Coturnix japonica: one gene and its partner. The protein of the gene in region 1 interacts with the protein of each later gene in a biochemical or structural test. Links are inferred from orthologs where the notes say so. Each region holds a gene or a part of one and is shown on either strand. Other genes may lie near its edges.

Evidence for each region. The genes of interacting proteins can lie anywhere in the genome.
Region 2: the proteins of RET (region 1) and GRB10 form a complex in vitro, tested with the Homo sapiens proteins (2 studies listed by BioGRID). The link is inferred for Coturnix japonica from reciprocal best matches to the Homo sapiens genes RET and GRB10.

The regions. Positions count from the first base shown.
Region 1 is NC_029521.1:3,914,739-3,918,361, reverse strand, and holds part of RET (proto-oncogene tyrosine-protein kinase receptor Ret), read left to right. Parts: intron 1-2,054; coding exon 2,055-2,306; intron 2,307-3,623. UniProt on the Homo sapiens protein: Receptor tyrosine-protein kinase involved in numerous cellular mechanisms including cell proliferation, neuronal navigation, cell migration, and cell differentiation in response to glia cell line-derived growth family factors (GDNF, NRTN, ARTN, PSPN and GDF15).
Region 2 is NC_029517.1:49,779,104-49,783,230, forward strand, and holds the start of GRB10 (growth factor receptor-bound protein 10), read left to right. Parts: upstream 1-1,255; 5' UTR 1,256-1,387; exon of another isoform or gene 1,388-1,416; intron 1,417-1,519; 5' UTR 1,520-1,598; coding exon of another isoform or gene 1,599-2,114; intron 2,115-4,127. Other genes in the region: WAS/WASL-interacting protein family member 3-like, read right to left, coding at 157-1,077, 1,599-2,114.

The sequences.
Region 1 (3,623 bases):
AAAGATTGACATGCAGAGTGTGGTTTCTGCTCGGGCAATCTGTTGCATACCTCTCATCTTTCCCAGTGCTTGAAATGGGATTAAAGAGTGGCATGAAGCACTTAACAAAATCCCAGCATTTTCAATATCAGCAGCATGGGATGAATCTTGTTACGATAACATGGCTAAGTCAAATTTATCTTTCTATTTTTTTTTTTTTTAAAGCCATCTAACTTTCTACATTGCTGTAAAGAGTTCTGATTTGAGGTACTTGTTTTCTGAGTGAAACATGAAACTAATTAATATCCACTTAAGCCACAGGTTGTGTCCCCTTTGTCCTTCCTCACATTAGAGCTGTTCACCCTGGTCTTAGAAATAAGTATTCCTCCATCCTATTGCTAATGTTGTGAAAGTCTCACTTGCACACATCAGTGAGTTCTATCTATCTATTTACTTACTTATCAATCTCTTTTCATTGAGCACTGAATACCTGGTATAGAATTTCTTGCGAGGAAGTTTTTACAAATCTAGAATCGCAATCTCATAGAAAATACCCGAAGGGTATTTGCACCGGGGCTGGGCCTTCTCTTTGGATATCACCCGATACCTTTCATTAATGGACCTGTTTGTTAGGAGTCCTGGTGGTGTGGATTCCCCATCCTTTCCTGCACTTCCAAAAAGAGGCAGGCAGCAGGGCTGGAAAAAGATTGGAAATGCATTAAGAATGCTCAGGTAATGGGGTCAGAGTGAGAAGTAATTGTTTTCTACTCGATAAGGGGCTCTAGGAGCTACTGGTTAAATTGCTTTTCTAAAACTCCAAGAAGGGTTTTTGTTGGTTTGCTTTTGAATTAATTACTCTGGAGCAAAGTCGCCTACTGCATCGCTTTACTACTTTATTCACATATTGCAAAGCATTTGTTGAACAAGTAATGGGGTCCTGTAGATCACATGGATGTAATTGCATCCAGGGATACTAATGATGTCATGAAACATTGCAAGGTAGAGTGGTTTCTGTGGTGTTTCTGAAGGAAATGAGAGGTCTCTCATTCAGAGTTTGTTTGTCATTCTCTCCATTCAGTAAAATAGCATATGAGTCTAATAGCAATATAAAATAAATGATACATCCTGGTAGTATTTGGAAGATGTTTTGGCTTTATATCCAAACTGTTACTGCTTTGCTGCCATCATTTCCATTTCTACCTGGCTTGCTTTTAGCTAAAACAGTCCCGTCTTTGTACCATGTGGAAATTATTTTCATTCGTTCAGCAGATGTATGAGCCTTTTACATGTCTTACTCCTTATCAAATCAGATTATATGATAAAAAAAACTCTGCAGAATGTTCTGCAAGTGATCTGTTGTGTGGGAGCAACCACGGGCAGTAGGTGCAGATGGAGGACATGTGTGACAGCTCCAGTACTTCAGTGCATGCCAGTATCACTGTTTACATATGTTGCAGGTGGGATATCTTTGCAGTTCATTCTAACATCAGTTTGCCAGTGCACCCAAACAAGATATCAGTCTTTTTCAGCCTGCTGCAGTGGATAGAGATGTTGGCCTGTCTCTTTGTGATTCTGAAAGTCCCACCCAAATCTTACTTATCTTCAAATGAAAGACTTTATTTTTAAATGTGAAGGCATCATTCTGTTTAATGACCATATTGCAATCCAGGACTCTGTCGGGCTACTCAGTATTTCTGACAACTCAGTCAGTCTGTTTACACTGGAAGAAGACCTGAGAGGTGTAGGTATGGACCTGGCAAGCATATGTTTTTTAAGTGTTCAGCTTTAACTGGGCTATGCTTATAGCAGAGCAGTTTCACTTTTAAGAAGTAGATGACTGTGCAACTTCAGCATGAACTATGAGCCAGGTCTTTGATGGCGATGTCCCTGGCTTGAGTGCAGCAAAACTGATTTATGCTAGATTAGGATCCGCATTACTCTCATCACTTTTAATGCTTCCTTAATCTTCACAGAATGGAGCCTTCAATTCTTTGCAAGCGTGTCTCTTAAGAAAATGCCAATGCAAAAATCTGTTAACTGGGATGAACTCTCCTGCTTTGTGCCTTCCTTTGCAGCTTCCTTTGGTCTGTACTTCCCCAGAAAGGAGTACTCAGAGAACGTCTACATTGACCAACCAGCAGGTACACCGCTCCTGCGCATCCACGCCCTGAGGGATTCACATGGGGAAACAGCCCACTTTCATCTGTGCCAGAATCTCATCATTTCTCGAGCGAGATCCCACGAAAATCACTGGTTTCAAATCAGAGAAAAAATGGGACTTCTCTACCTCAGCAGGAGTCTAGATAGAGAAGACTTTAACATGCTGTGTAAGTATAAGAAGACTAATTTTTCTAGTGGAAATTTCTGTTGTTAAAGCATCTTCAGATCATGAGATTTATCCTTCAGCAATAAACACTGAATTCAGAAAAAAATACCCCAACGCCTATTTTAAAATGAAGAACCAGACCTAACAAAACCTGCAGGAAGCACAAGGAGATGCATACTGAAGCAAATGTTAATCTGAGACAGATCTGGTTACTCTCACTACGATACTGAGATTTTTTGTTTATTCACTTACTGATGCAAATTGAGCCAATTCCGCTGTGCCAATGTTGGGTGCTTTAGTGACTGCACAGTTGCAGTTAGATGACAGACTCTCACATAAACAGCCCTCAAACTTTGGCAACGCGGGCTCATGTGGATTTACAAATAATACCAGTGGTTCTTGGAAGAGGTGGCTGTGTACCTCTCTGTCCCTCTGAAGATACAGCCTTGTTAAGGGACTTACTGTTCAGCTACAGAAATGGGTTATCTCAGGCTTTTCCTCCTCTTTTGTGCTCTGTCAGTAAACTGGTCCTGGTGATTTTGATCCATGAGGAAATTATCTTTCGATGATGGAGAAGGAAATGGATGAGATGCTAATGGCACACTGCTGTGATCAGTTGCAGAAATTCTGCTGTTGGACAGCCTGTACCAAGTGATGAGTTGGAGGGCCATAAATCGACACTACTCTTTGACTGAGGTGCCTTGATGTTTAAATGTTCATCTTCAAGGCACTTACTGTTTCGTTTGTTTAGTGCTTAGTATCTCATCCTTTTCCTCTGCATTTTGGATACTAATAAATATCAGATACCCATTTGTAACTGGGCAAGGGAAGAACAGCTATCTGTGACTTGAAAGTCTTAGGGCTTCTTGTTTTGTTCATATCATGGTGACCTATAGAGCCTTTCCGAGTGAATTACATCTGCCGCAGAGATGTTATCATTCTGTCTGTAGTCAAATGCTGCTAATCAAAATAATTGAGTCTTGAGGGTATTAGTAGATGCCACAAGTTGATTTACATGTCTGTGTTTATCCTTTGGCCAGCTCTTTATATTTCAGAATGATTAAGCAGATTGCGCTCTAAACAATTTAGTCCATACCTTCAACTGCTATAAACTGTCACAACACTGTGATTTCATTGACAAAAGTCTTGAGTCTGTTTGTTGCCATTTTGCACTCTTTTCCCCCACTGCAACCCTACTAGTCCCTTAAAACAACAACAACAAACAGTCAAAAAGCTTATTACCAGCAGTGACTTGTTGTATATTAGTGTCTTACATGCAGATCACTGGTATCATTTAGTGAGGTTCTATAACTTAAAA
Region 2 (4,127 bases), on another chromosome or scaffold:
ACGTGGCTATAGGATATGCCAGGGCAAAGAGCATTGAACTATATGCAACAGAGGTGAGCACTGAAGTCTTTGGCCATGCCCATGGCAGGAGAAAAGCACGAACTGGTGATGGGGAAGTCCATGGCAAAAACCCTGGCCAAGTCCAACAAGTACTGCTTATACTTTGTATGTGATGGAATCGAGTGTGAGTATGTGCGGCCACGATGCCAGGTATGCAGGTCCTGGTACCAGACAGGATGGAGGTGACTCCATCTTCAGAGCATAAGCAGTGGCTGGTGGAAAGTCAAGGCAGGCTAAGGTGGCAGCGGGATGACAGAGGCGACCTGGGTCCAGGGCATGGCGGTAGTATGGGATGGGGTGGATGCCAACACTGTGTGGACATCTGGGAGGTGGCCAAAGGCAGAGCGGTGCCAGGTTTGGCCAGTGATTGACTAGTGTAATGTGCGTGAGGAAATGGAGAGGTATAGAGCTGTCGGCAGGAGAGCAAGCAGGAGGAAGAGCTGAAAACATGAGGATGGGGAGAGAGAACTGGTAGAAAAACCATTCTCTTAAGTACAGTGAGGTACAGCAAAGGAGGAAGGCAGAATGAGAGCAAGGGAGGTGATACACTTCCAAACACACCGGGCTGAGGAGCTCAGCCCCGCGGTGCCATCGGGATGCGTCTGTGTGGCTTCGGGGAAAATACACAGAGGTTCCTCCCGATTCCCCTCGGTTCCTTCCATAGCGCTGGCCGCTCGGCAGTAGGGAACACACTGCTCGGGGAGCAGCTCGGGTTGCGCCGAGGTTCGCGATGCTCGGAGGGAAGCGGCCAACTTTGCTCTCGTAGGAGCTTTCTCTCGGTCCCGGACCGCTCGGAAGTGACACCCAAGGAGCGCGCACCGAGCGCAGCCGGCACAGCAGCCCGGAGCGCGGCTGGCAGCGGGTCGGTCGCGGCTCTGCACGGCACGGGGTCAGAGCTCCGGCAGCCCATCCTCGGGGGCAGGTCGGAGGGGGGAGGTTCAACACAGTCCCCGGCCAGCCCCACACTCGCAGATGCCCCGGGGCGTCCCTCCGGCTCCCGCAAAGGACTCTCCCGCGCTACCTGTGCGCGTGCTTTTGTTGGAGGCCCTCCGGCCCCGACCCTCAGCTCCTAAGGGCGCTGCGGCGGCTCAGCCGCCCGACCCCTGCCCTCGGCGGCGGCACCGCGGCGCGGGCCGGGGCTGCGGCTGCGTGCGGCGGGGGCGGGCGCGGGGCGGGGCGGGGCGGGGCGCCGGCGGGAGTCAGCTGGGCGCGGGGCGAGCGCGCGGCGGCGACGGGGCGCCGTTAGTAGAGGGAGCGGTGGCGGCAGCAGCGGAGCGGGTAGAAGTTTTTCCCCGCTGAGCCCTCCCGCAGCCCGGGGCCGCCTTAGGTAGGCTCGGAAGTCCCCGTGCGTGCTGGGTGTGTTTTTGGTTTTATGTTTTTAATTTTAATACATAATTTTTATTTTTTTTTTGGTTGCTTTCTAAGATTTTTTTTTTTTTCTTTTTAATTTTGTTGTAAGTTTTGCTTTCCGAAACGCGTGTTCTTGTGGGAGCCCCGGCGACACGAAGACCACCCCCATCCCCGCCGGAGCCGCTCACGACCCCCTTCCTCCGAGCCCCGGAACTCGGCGGGCCGCGGGCGGGCGGGTGCTGGCCGGCAGCCCTGCAGGTAAGGGCCGGGGGGAGCCGGGGGGCGGCGCCGGGGCCGCGGAGCGGCTTTGCCTGCTCTTCGGCGGTAGAGGCCGGGGGAGGAGGAGGAGGAGGGGAGCAGACTTCCTTTTCCTGGGGCCGCCGGCGCCCCTCGCCGAGCCCCGTGCCCGCGGGCAGCGGCCCGAGCCGGCTTCGGCGTGGGGCGGGTTGCGGACCTGTCCCGGTAACTCGTGGCCGCGCTGCCGGCGCACGGCGGCTGATGGGGGGGGGCCCTTGGAGCCTTCCGAGCACGCGGCTCTCCCCTCGCGTAACTGCGGGAGCGCCGCTGTGGCATCTCTGTAAGCGCAGTTTGCAGTTAATGGGTTTGGCAGGCGAACTCGTGCAGAATCCTCCTGCCCACTTGTGCTGCCGAAGTGCCAGCGCCCCCGCCCCCCTTTTTCCCTGCTCTCCTTTGAAGCCTCGCATAACTCCGTACTGCCAGCGGGACGGAAAGTGCTGATTCAGCAGCCCCGGAGCCCTGCTCCATCTGAAGTGGTGGTCTGCCCAACGCGTTCCTATTTGTCGAAGCGGGAACATGTGCCGCTGGTGTGTCAGAGCGGCACTGATGGGGTTTTCTCAAACAGCCCCAAGAACGTGGCTTACTTTTCCTTAGGAAAGAGTGACTTCGGGGAGGGAAGGGGGTGAACAACCGGCATTGAAGCGGTGGGATGTGGGAAGCCAATACATTTGGATGGAGTGTGATGCCCCATAAAGGTGCCGAGCAGTTCCTTGCTTTAACAAAGACTTGGTGGGGCGTACGGCAGTGATGCCCTAATGCTCCAGCTCGATCTATTCCTGCGTCCGGAGGCTCATTGTACTTAGAGCACCAGAAAAGGTATGGAGAAGGGCAGCGAGGCTAATCCTGGGATTAAATGGAGTGAGTTATGAGGGCAGGTTAAAAAACAAGAAAAAAAAAACACAAAACAAACATATGGAGATTAGAAAACCTGCGTGGAAAAGGGAAATGTGCTGGAAACTTGATGTGACGGCTCTGGCTGTGCTTCCCAGCCCTCCAGGCACTGGGAGGGTGCCGGGCTGGCAGCGTGCTGCTCTGTCCGAAGGGCTCACTTAACGGCACTGCACGAGAGTAGAGCTTTGCAGGAGCTCCTCTGGCTGGCTTTGCATGGTTACGTGCTGATACTGAGGGCTGGCTTTCTCTGAACCAGAACGCTTTAAAATTCTATGCAGCGCAGAGCAAACAATAAAGCCTAGAGAGCGGTGTTTGGTAGCCTTGTTCCAAGTGCTAAATGGACAGAGCGGTGGACCCTGTTGCTTCATACAGTGGTTGTTTTACCGCGTTATGCTCTGATTTATTTTCTTTGCTTGGACTTTTATTTGTTCTTAAAGTAGGTCTTGTTTGCCCTGGCTACCTGTTAAAGATCTTGTGGTACTTCATGGCTTTCCTTGGTTTTGTTAATCAAAATATCCCCTCCCTTACTGCTGTGTGAGTTGGCTTTCATCCTTAGATATGTCCACACCTGGGTTTCAGTAATGTACTTCTATAAGTTTTTACTGTATAGTCCAAAAGTGCTGCCTAAATGCAAACGGATCTGTTTCGTAGTTCTGCTTAAGACTATACCGCGTGCTTTGTGAATAAAACATACATTTGCAACTATCTTGAGAGCACCTAAATGGCTCTGACTCTAGCAAGAACTGTCACAAAGGTTTTAGGAGATCCTTGGTTGTGTTCTCAGCAGCACTCTGGGTATAAATGGGCTAAAAGTATCTGGATCTCTTTGGCAAAGGGATTCTTCTGACGTGGGGAGTTCCCAGCTGGCAGAGGAAAGGCATAGCTGGGTCATGTGCCATTTCTGCCAGCAACAGGAGAGTATTGTGCTGGGAGCTTGTTTTCTGACAGTATTGAACTAGTAGATGGCCCTCTAGACAGCAAGGCATGGGCAGCTTATTCCTGCACACATGGCTGTGGAGTTGAGTGGACTCCTGCAGAGTGTGGCATGGGATGGGACAGTGCTGTCACATCTCCCTGCTGTTGTATCCCCGTCTGTGCCATGGGCATAGAGGTTTACAGTGATGTGTGAAACAAGGACGGGTTTGTAGGGAGATCTCTTTCTTAAACCAAAGAGCTTTCTTGTGGGAGGTTGAGTGCGGGGGATTTGTTTTCAGAGGACTTGTTTTCAGAGGCAGAGTAGTGCTGGAAGCTTGGGAAGTGGGAGATGGATGGGTGCCTCTTTGATAACCAGTGGTGTGCATTTTTGGGATGCACGTAAGTATTTGGTCAGGTACAAATTTCAGTGGTTACAGCAAACAGCGTATGGGGGGAAAAACCTTGCCAGCTTCTGCATGATATACTGTGGAAGCCTGAAATTTGGGCTGATTTCAGGTAAAAACTGTTGGGGATAATAGTTCTGCTGTATTCCTGGGCCTTCTTATTCTAAATATCTATGTGAACTTTGTTAGTGGACAATGGAAGTGCTTTTC